Canis lupus familiaris: one gene and its partner. The protein of the gene in region 2 purifies or fractionates together with the protein of the main gene of each other region. This does not show direct contact. Links are inferred from orthologs where the notes say so. Each region holds a gene or a part of one and is shown on either strand. Other genes may lie near its edges.

Region 1 (4,256 bases), on a different chromosome or scaffold from region 2:
ATGGCCAAATGTCCTCTCTGTGGCTATTTAAGAATCGTGGATTACCTCCTGTCCCAAGAGCTTACCAACTGAGGCAAAGTCTTCAAATTCTGGTCCCCAACTATTCCATCCTCTGCTTACTCTCAGACTTCCTCCTGCCTGACCAGCCTGGGTCCAAAGGCTGGGGGGCCAGGAGCCGGGACCCCTACCTCCCCCCTTCAGGCAGGCAGGAACACAAGATACCTGGTTGGAACAGCAGATGGAACAGGAGTAGCAGCCGCTGCAGCAGTAAAAACTGGAATGTCCTCAGGCAGTGAAGAGTCTAGGGGAGAAAAAGAACTTCCCGAGGGGAAGGGGGCCTTTGATTCACACCCATGTGGGCAGGGGTGGGGTGGGGAGTAGAGGGTGGGGACCCAGGTCCTCCTGACCTGCCCGTCCCCTAAGAAAACCCCTTCCCACTGGAGCCAAAGACTCAGGGAAGCTTAACCACCACCTTCTGGGATCCTTTGCTGCCAAACACTGGATCAAAGCGACTGAGACAAGGGGAAAGACGGTCTCTTCCTACACAAGAGCCACGGAGGCAACAAACCCCAATGTAAGTGTGCAAGAGGGGAGGACAACCTGCTAGAGAGAGGAGGCGTGTTGGGGTGCGACCCCTCTAGCCTCAGCCTCCGCCCCTTTCCCTCCCTAGCCTGGGCCCACACCACAGCCACAGCCCCTTGACATCCCCCCACAGGATCCTTCACAACAGCGGGAGCCCTGGAAGCATCCCGCCCTGTCCGGCCAGGTCAAGGTGGGCAGAGGAGGTAGCGCAGGGGCCTGGGTTCCTGGCCGGGTCTCTACGAGGCCTCGGCTGGTCCTCCCTCACCTGCTGTCCTCCAGGGCCGGCTCCAGCATGCTCCCCCCTTTGAGGTGTTTGAGGGCCACCTCAGCTGCCTTGTGCTTGGCTGCCTTCTTGCTGGGGCCCTGACCTGAGAGAGGGGCGTGGGCGATACTGGAGGTCACTAGGAGGACAGAAAAGCCGGCACCCACAGCTTCTCTCCTCAGGGCTGGAGGGAGTCAACCAAGCCCCTCTCACCACCTGCCCCTGCCCAAGACCGGAAGTGCTGCGCTAATTACTAGAAGGGAGGGCTTCTGCTCCCCAGAGCTCCCCAAATCAAGCCACGCCAGGCACGACTGCTCTGGAGCTCAGACACCCTGGGCAGAGACGCTTTCCCGGCTCTCCTTGCCTCTGGGAAGTGCTTTCTTTTCTCTCAATACATAGAGATGTCTGGGAAAGTAGAAAGAGGGCAGGCTCCGGAGTCAAGGCCCCGCTCCGCCACTTCTCAGGCCCGGGACCTTGCACCACTCACATCCACCCCGAGCCTTGGCTCCCTCATATTCAGCTCGGAGGTGCTATCCCCCACATCCCTGGATTAGACTGCGATTTAAGACGAACTAGGAATTTGGTCAAGCACCTGGAACAGAGCCCAGTGCAGCAGGCACTCACTCCTTCGAAACTTCGCTGAGAGTTTGGTTCATCCCGTCTTTCTCCTCTAGGATGACGACAATGTGCCAGACCCCTCTGGCGGTCCTGCTTGCTCCTCTAACTCTCCGGAGTCCTACCCGCCTCCTCAAAGACCCGTTCCCCCAAACGAGTCCGTGGCTTTTCCCCCTGAAATCTCTCCTTCCCTCACTGGCCTTGGAGCAAAGGACTGGGGAGAGACTCCAGGACACAAAGCCACCAGGGCCCTGCGGATGCACACCCCAGCCAGGCTGCCCAAGCCTTCCTCACCAGTGCAGCTGGTGTCGCCAACGGTGACCCGGAAGGTGAAATTAGGCTGGTGGGCTTGGCCCTCGGCTTTGAGAAGGTCGTACACGGGCGTCTTCCCTATTCTGGTCCCATACTCCTGCAGAAGGCTGATCGGGGTCTTGCCCGGGTTGGCTGCCAGCATTTGCTCTATACTGGGGGAGGCGGGGGCAGGGGGTCACGGACCCTTATCACACCTCCAACTCTGCGCCCACCCGGCCAAGCACTGTCGTATCAGACCCAGGCACACTATGGGGGGACACGGGTCCAGGGGACCCCGGGCAGTACAGCACACATTGGCTGGGTTCAGTGTGGAGTAGAAGCGGGCTGGAAGCCGGGTCCACGGCCCCCAGAGCACGCGGGCAACGCACTGTTCCTGTCTCAGTTAAGCAGGAGGAGGATCCTGCACCCCAGTGCAGTTAGGAGGTGCATGTCCCCACACAGTGCAGCCCAGGGACCCGGTACCCACCAAACGCACTGAATGTCGGGAGCACAAAGCCCAGTGCCCCAAGTGCAGTCTGGGAACCGGGCCAACCCCAAACTATTTAGAGCAGGAGGCCGTGGCCACTGCCGGGGTGCATGCCGGGAACCACGGCCCACTACCCCGGTGCTTGCCGGGAACAACCCTCGGGCCAGGTGCATGCTGGGGCCGCGCCGCTACCACCTCCGCGCCGCGCCACGCTTCTCGCCCGGCAGGGGTCGGCTCGAAGCGGCTCACCTGGGCAGCCCGCAGCCCGTGGTGGTGCCGGAGCCCTGCTCCTCTTCACTCATTCCCACCTCCGTGCCCGCGGGCCCCACCGTGACTGCAGCCTCCGCGCGCCCCAGAACACCGCCGACGAGCTAGGGCCGGGGCCGAGCCCCGAGTCGCGGCCGGTCGGGCCCGCCGCGGGGCATGCCGGGACATGGAGTCCCCCGCCCACCCGCCTCCCCGAGTCTCCATCGGGAGGGGAGCCGCCCGCCCCACAAGCCCCCGCGGGCGTCGCCCGGGGATGCGGCACCGCCTCCTGGGAGGAGCGGAGCCTTCCACGGTGGCCTCCCGAGCGGAGGGTGGCTTTGTGTCCGTGTGTCCGTGTGTCTGTGCGTGTGAATTTTTTTTTTTTTTTAAATAGCGTCCCGCCTCTTTTCCGCGTCTCCGCTCCCCGGAGTGGGCATGCGCGGGAGCAGAGCGGAAGCGGCTGGGGGCGGGGCGCTAAGGCCTAACCGGAGCGCCGGGTCCGCAGGCTCCCGAGGAAACTACAGAGACCGGCAGCTCGCGCGCCATCTTTGTCGCCGCGCAGGGGCAGGCGCAGGCGTGCGCGGAGAGCTCCGCGATAGGATTGGTCGTGTCCGATTGCGCTGGCTCGCTCTAGGCACGTTGCGATTGGTTACTGAGCCTCGAGGGGCGGGGCCAGGAGCGAGGCAGCCCCTCGGCCCCGCCCCTTTGTTGAGGAAAGGCTGCGATTGGTCCAGGGAAGAGGGGCTGTCGCACCCTGGCTCGGCGCGGGCTGGGGGTGGCCTCACCTGGCCGCGGGAGGAGAGCGCTCGAGCCCCTCCGCGCTGGGGCCGGCCGGCCGGCGGCCCGCAGTTCCTCCTCGCTCCCGGCCCCGGGGCCTTCGTCTCACAGCCCCTGCTTCGTGTTCCCGGGTTGCCCTTCATTCCCTGCCCCTAGTTCTGGCCCGCAGCCTGTCTGGTTTCAGGTCTTCTCTAAAGCCTTGCTGGGCCGTCCCCAGGGAACCTCTCCGTAGGTGGCCCGGGACCCTCTCTGGGGCCTGAGAATCGGGCTGTAGGGGCGACAGCATTAGGACTCACGCACACCGTGGTCTCGTTCCCGCGGCTGTGGGTCTGGGGTCTCTCGGCCGAAGAGACAGCAGGAGAGGACTCCGGCCTCTGAACGCTAACCCGCTAACTGGGTGCAGAGCTGCAGCCCCTCCTCCCTAGGGTGTCCCGGCCACCGGGTTCAAAGATGTAGGAGAATCTCGTGACCTTGGCGAGACACCACGAAAATGCCTGGTTCTAACGAGCGTCCCGAGGCTGGGCCAGGTAGTGGAGAGCCGGGGGAGCCCCGGAACGGCGCTGAGGAGCTCGGGCACTAGGCTCGGCGGATTCCAATTGGGTAGAGCCGGAGTGGTGACGGCGACGGGCAGGGCGGCTGGCTGGCTCGGCAAGGCAGGGGGAGCCGCGCCAGAGCGCTGGGCGGCCGGGGTCCCCGCGCGGAGGGGCTCCGTCTCGGGGCGTAGCAGGCAGGGTGTCCGACCGGCCACAGGGGGCTCCTCGGGGACCAGCCAAGGCTCGAGGTGCGACGGCCACCCGACCCCGCCTGCGGGGAGGCGCGGGGCCCCGGAGGGCCGGGGCCGGGCCTGGAGCGCGCCGGATGGCAGCGGCGGGCTCCTTTAAGAGGCCGGCGGCTCCAGCGCAGCATCCCCCGCTCAGGGCGTGTCCGTCCCGGGGGGCCAGGGGCGGGGGCCTCGGAAGGAGCGGGAGTTCGAGCCGAGTGGGGACGGGGCTAGGG
Region 2 (3,579 bases):
TTAAGTTAATCAGCACATCCATCACCTCACATAATTGCCACTTTTTCACTTTTTTTTTTTTTCACATTTTCTTAATTGATGTGGCAAAATGGCATGGCAGGGCTTTTCTTGCAAAGAAAAGTTTGGTGTGTTTCTCTGAACGCCTCATTACTTCATAGAAACATCTTTGAGGCCGGACTCTAATCTCCTTAAGGACAGTCCCCCCGTGGCTGCTTGCTCACAGTCCTGCAGGATCGTGGGGTGGGTGGGTGGGGAGGTTCAGACTATTATTTTTAATTGGAGGATAGTGGCCATGCAGTGTTACATTGGTTTCAGGTGTGCAGCATGGTGACAGGCAGTTCTGTACATGAGGAAACGCTCCCGCGGGGAGTGTGGTCACCACAGTCCCCGTGCGACGTCATGACAGTATCATTGGCCACTTTCCCCACGCTGCGCTTTCCATCCCTGTGACGTCCTTCCTTATACCTGGAGATCTGTGCCTCTTCGTCCCCTTCCCGTTCCGCCCATCCTCCCACCCCCCACCCCCGGGAACCACTATTCTCCGTATTTACAAATCTCTTTTTCTGTTTCTGTTCATTAGTTTTGTTTTTAAATTCCAGATATAAATGAAATCACATGGCATTTATCTTGCTCTGCAATCCTGCCAGCAATGCACATTTCCTATTTCTCCGCATCCTTGCCAACACTTTTTATTTTTCATCTTTTTGATTCTAGCTATTTGGACAGGTGTGAGGTGGCAGCTCCTTGTGGTTTTGGCCTTCCTGGTTCTAGCAGCTGTATGTGCATCCGTCACCTATGTCATTTCTTTCTGAAAGGGACCCGATCACGGAGACCTTCTGGGGCATGGTGTGGTGACTCTCTGGTCAGTCCCGAGGTCCATGCGCCTAGAAGCGTCTGTGCTCTCACTGCTGTGTCCTCGCTGGGCCTGGGCCACGGCCACTTAGTGGCTGTCAGGCGGGATGGTGCTCTGAGTGCTGCCGGGCAGGTGTCCTCTTGGACACGGGTGCAGGGGACTCCGCGCAGTCTGCTTGCTGCTCTCATGACGTGTGAATGTGGGGTAGTGAGTGTGTGTGAGGACGGAGCTCCTCAGGAGTTGAGAGGGGCCTGCAGGCCTCTCAAGTGAGGAGGGAGTGAGGAGTGCACAGGGGCTGTGCGGCTGGCACACTGGCCTGGGACGTGACTCCCCTGGCCTGCTGGGGGAGGGCGTTCCAGGCAGGTGGTGCACAGGCAGCGGGATGGACCCCCATTCCTTTGGGGACTCGCAGACTTGGAGGGCTGGGGTGGGCTGGGCACAGGGGCTGTGGCCATGCATCCGTGTTGTGCTGTACCGAGGGTGACAGCCCCCCAGTGAGCACGTGGGAAGTTCCACGGGCTACACTTTTAGTCTAAGCATCTGCGTTTTTATAATATGTAAAAAGTAGTGAATAAAGTCTCCCTTCCTGGGATCTTTGGATGTTCAGGGATAAAACGTATATAATCTGTCACATGTCAAGTTATCTTTTTTAAAGATTTTATTTGTTTATTCATTAGAGACACAGAGAGAGGCATAGACACAGGGAGAGGGAGAAGCAGGCCCACACAGGGAGCCCGATGCAGGACTTGATCCCGGGACCCCAGGATCATGCCCTGGGCCCAAGGCAGACGCTCAACCTCCTGAGCCACCCAGGTGCCCCTGTCACCTGTCAAATGAGATATTCCATCAATATTGGGAAGTATTGTTGGCAAATATTGAAATTGTTTCAATGACAGCTGAGTGGGGGTCTGTGTGCGCCAAGTGTTCAGAACGTCCCCCTCAGTGACCGAATAATGAACTGCAGGGTGGGTCACAAGTGGGGGAGTGAAGCGACGGGGTAAAGGTGGGGAGGCAAGGGGTGCTCGGGGGCAGGAGGAGAGGGGGGAGGGACTCGCTGTCTGCCTCGGGGAGTGAGTCCCTGGGGCCCGCTCCCGACCACCGTCCAGTACGCCAGCCGCTGGCCGCACGTGGCCGTGTAAGTGTGGACTCATGAAAAGTGCACAAAGCTGAAAATTCAGTCCCTCGGCCACACTGCCCACATTTCCACTGCTCAGTGGCCACAGGCGGCCAGCGGCCAGCGCCCTGGGCAGCATGGGAAGAGACTGTTTCCGTTATCACAAAAGTTCTCTTGGACAGAGCTGTTGGGGACCACTGAGCACTATTGTGGCAAATATTCTGAGGTTTGGCTGAGAATTTTAATTCCTTCGCAGGAGATTCTGATAGGTCTTGTAGTTGAAGCTTTTTTTCTCTGCGTTTTGTACCCGGAGGTGCACACAGTCTGTAGAAGAGCTTCTGGAAGTGTTGGCGGGTCCCCCCCTCCTGCGTTCTCTATTCGTTGTGGACCTGCCTAGTCAGAGAGGAAAGTTGAGGCACTGTAGGGGCGCGCACGCCCGCCTGGAGTCTGCAGTTGTTAGCATTTGGCTGTTTGTTTTACCACGTGTCTTCTGAGAAGGCTTTCTGTTTATGGTTTATTCACCGCAAACCTACCTTAAGGGACCCAGAACATGGGAGCTCCCAGACCCTCTGCAGTGTTCCCAGTTCCACTGGGAGTTAATCCCTGGGCCCCCGACTAGCTCCCCGCCCCCTGCCCGCGTCCCCTACCCCGTCTGGACCTGCTGTGTAGCGTCCGCCCTGCGCTGGCATGGCCTCCACGACACGGTCTGTCGCTGCTTGTCTCCCCTGGCCACCTCTGTGCAGGGCCAGGGAGAAGTCCCAGGTCCCGCTGATTGCCGGCACTCATGGGCTAGGGCTATGTGCACGTCCCGCTGTGCGTGCTTGGACAAAGGATGGGCTGAACTTCCCTACCCAGTTCTGGAAGCTGACCCACTGCCCCCAACCTCCCAGCAGCTTCTCAGAGGCGAGTGTGAATAACCGTGTGCTCTGGATCTCCTCGCAGGTGGAGCTGGAGGTCACGTTGCCTGGAGAAGGAAAGGACCGCATCTTCAAGGTGTCCATCAAGTGGGTGTCCTGTGTGAGCTTACAGGCGTTACACGATGCACTTTCGGGGCGGCTGCCCAGCGTCCCCTTTGAGACGATCCAGGCCCTGGATGTGGTCATGAGGCATTTGCCATCCATGAGGTAAGGACCAAGGAAGCAGGAGCGTCTGCTTCTGACCCTGACCGTTCCCTGGAGGTCAGGAAATCTCTGTCCAAGGATGAGTGGATTTTTGGAGTCAGGGAGGTGATGGTCATGGATTTCTATGGTGAAAATTATAGCACTACTAACATGAAACGTTTTTAATATAAAAATCAGTCACCGGGGGCGCCTCCCTGGCTCAATCAGTAGAGGATGTGACTCTTGATACCAGGATTGTGAGCTCGAATCCCATGTTGGCCAGACATTACTTTAAAAAAATAAAAAGGAAAGAAAAAGTCATCTCCAGAATTCTCAGACTAGCACAAAAAGATGGCCTGCCCGTCTTCGTGCACACTGGGGATTAGTGTTCACTTGCCCAACACTGTGAGCCCCGCTCCGTGTCTCTGTGGCCTTCACGCATGGGACTCGTAACAGTAGGGTGATGCTCCCAGTGCCCCCCGATGGAGCCCCCACCGCCCGGAGGACACAGG

What was found. The genes of interacting proteins can lie anywhere in the genome.
Region 1: the proteins of AGO2 (region 2) and TARBP2 purify together in Homo sapiens (co-immunoprecipitation; 10 studies listed by BioGRID and IntAct, with this or other methods). This does not show direct contact. The link is inferred for Canis lupus familiaris from reciprocal best matches to the Homo sapiens genes AGO2 and TARBP2.

The regions. Positions count from the first base shown.
Region 1 is NC_049248.1:44,930,547-44,934,802, reverse strand, and holds the start of TARBP2 (RISC-loading complex subunit TARBP2), read right to left. Parts: upstream 2,825-4,256; 5' UTR 2,540-2,824; coding exon 2,487-2,539; intron 2,396-2,486; exon of another isoform or gene 2,238-2,395; intron 1,924-2,237; coding exon 1,754-1,923; intron 951-1,753; coding exon 848-950; intron 319-847; coding exon 223-318; intron 1-222. UniProt on the Homo sapiens protein: Required for formation of the RNA induced silencing complex (RISC). Component of the RISC loading complex (RLC), also known as the micro-RNA (miRNA) loading complex (miRLC), which is composed of DICER1, AGO2 and TARBP2.
Region 2 is NC_049234.1:35,819,402-35,822,980, reverse strand, and holds part of AGO2 (protein argonaute-2), read left to right. Parts: intron 1-2,909; coding exon 2,910-3,091; intron 3,092-3,579.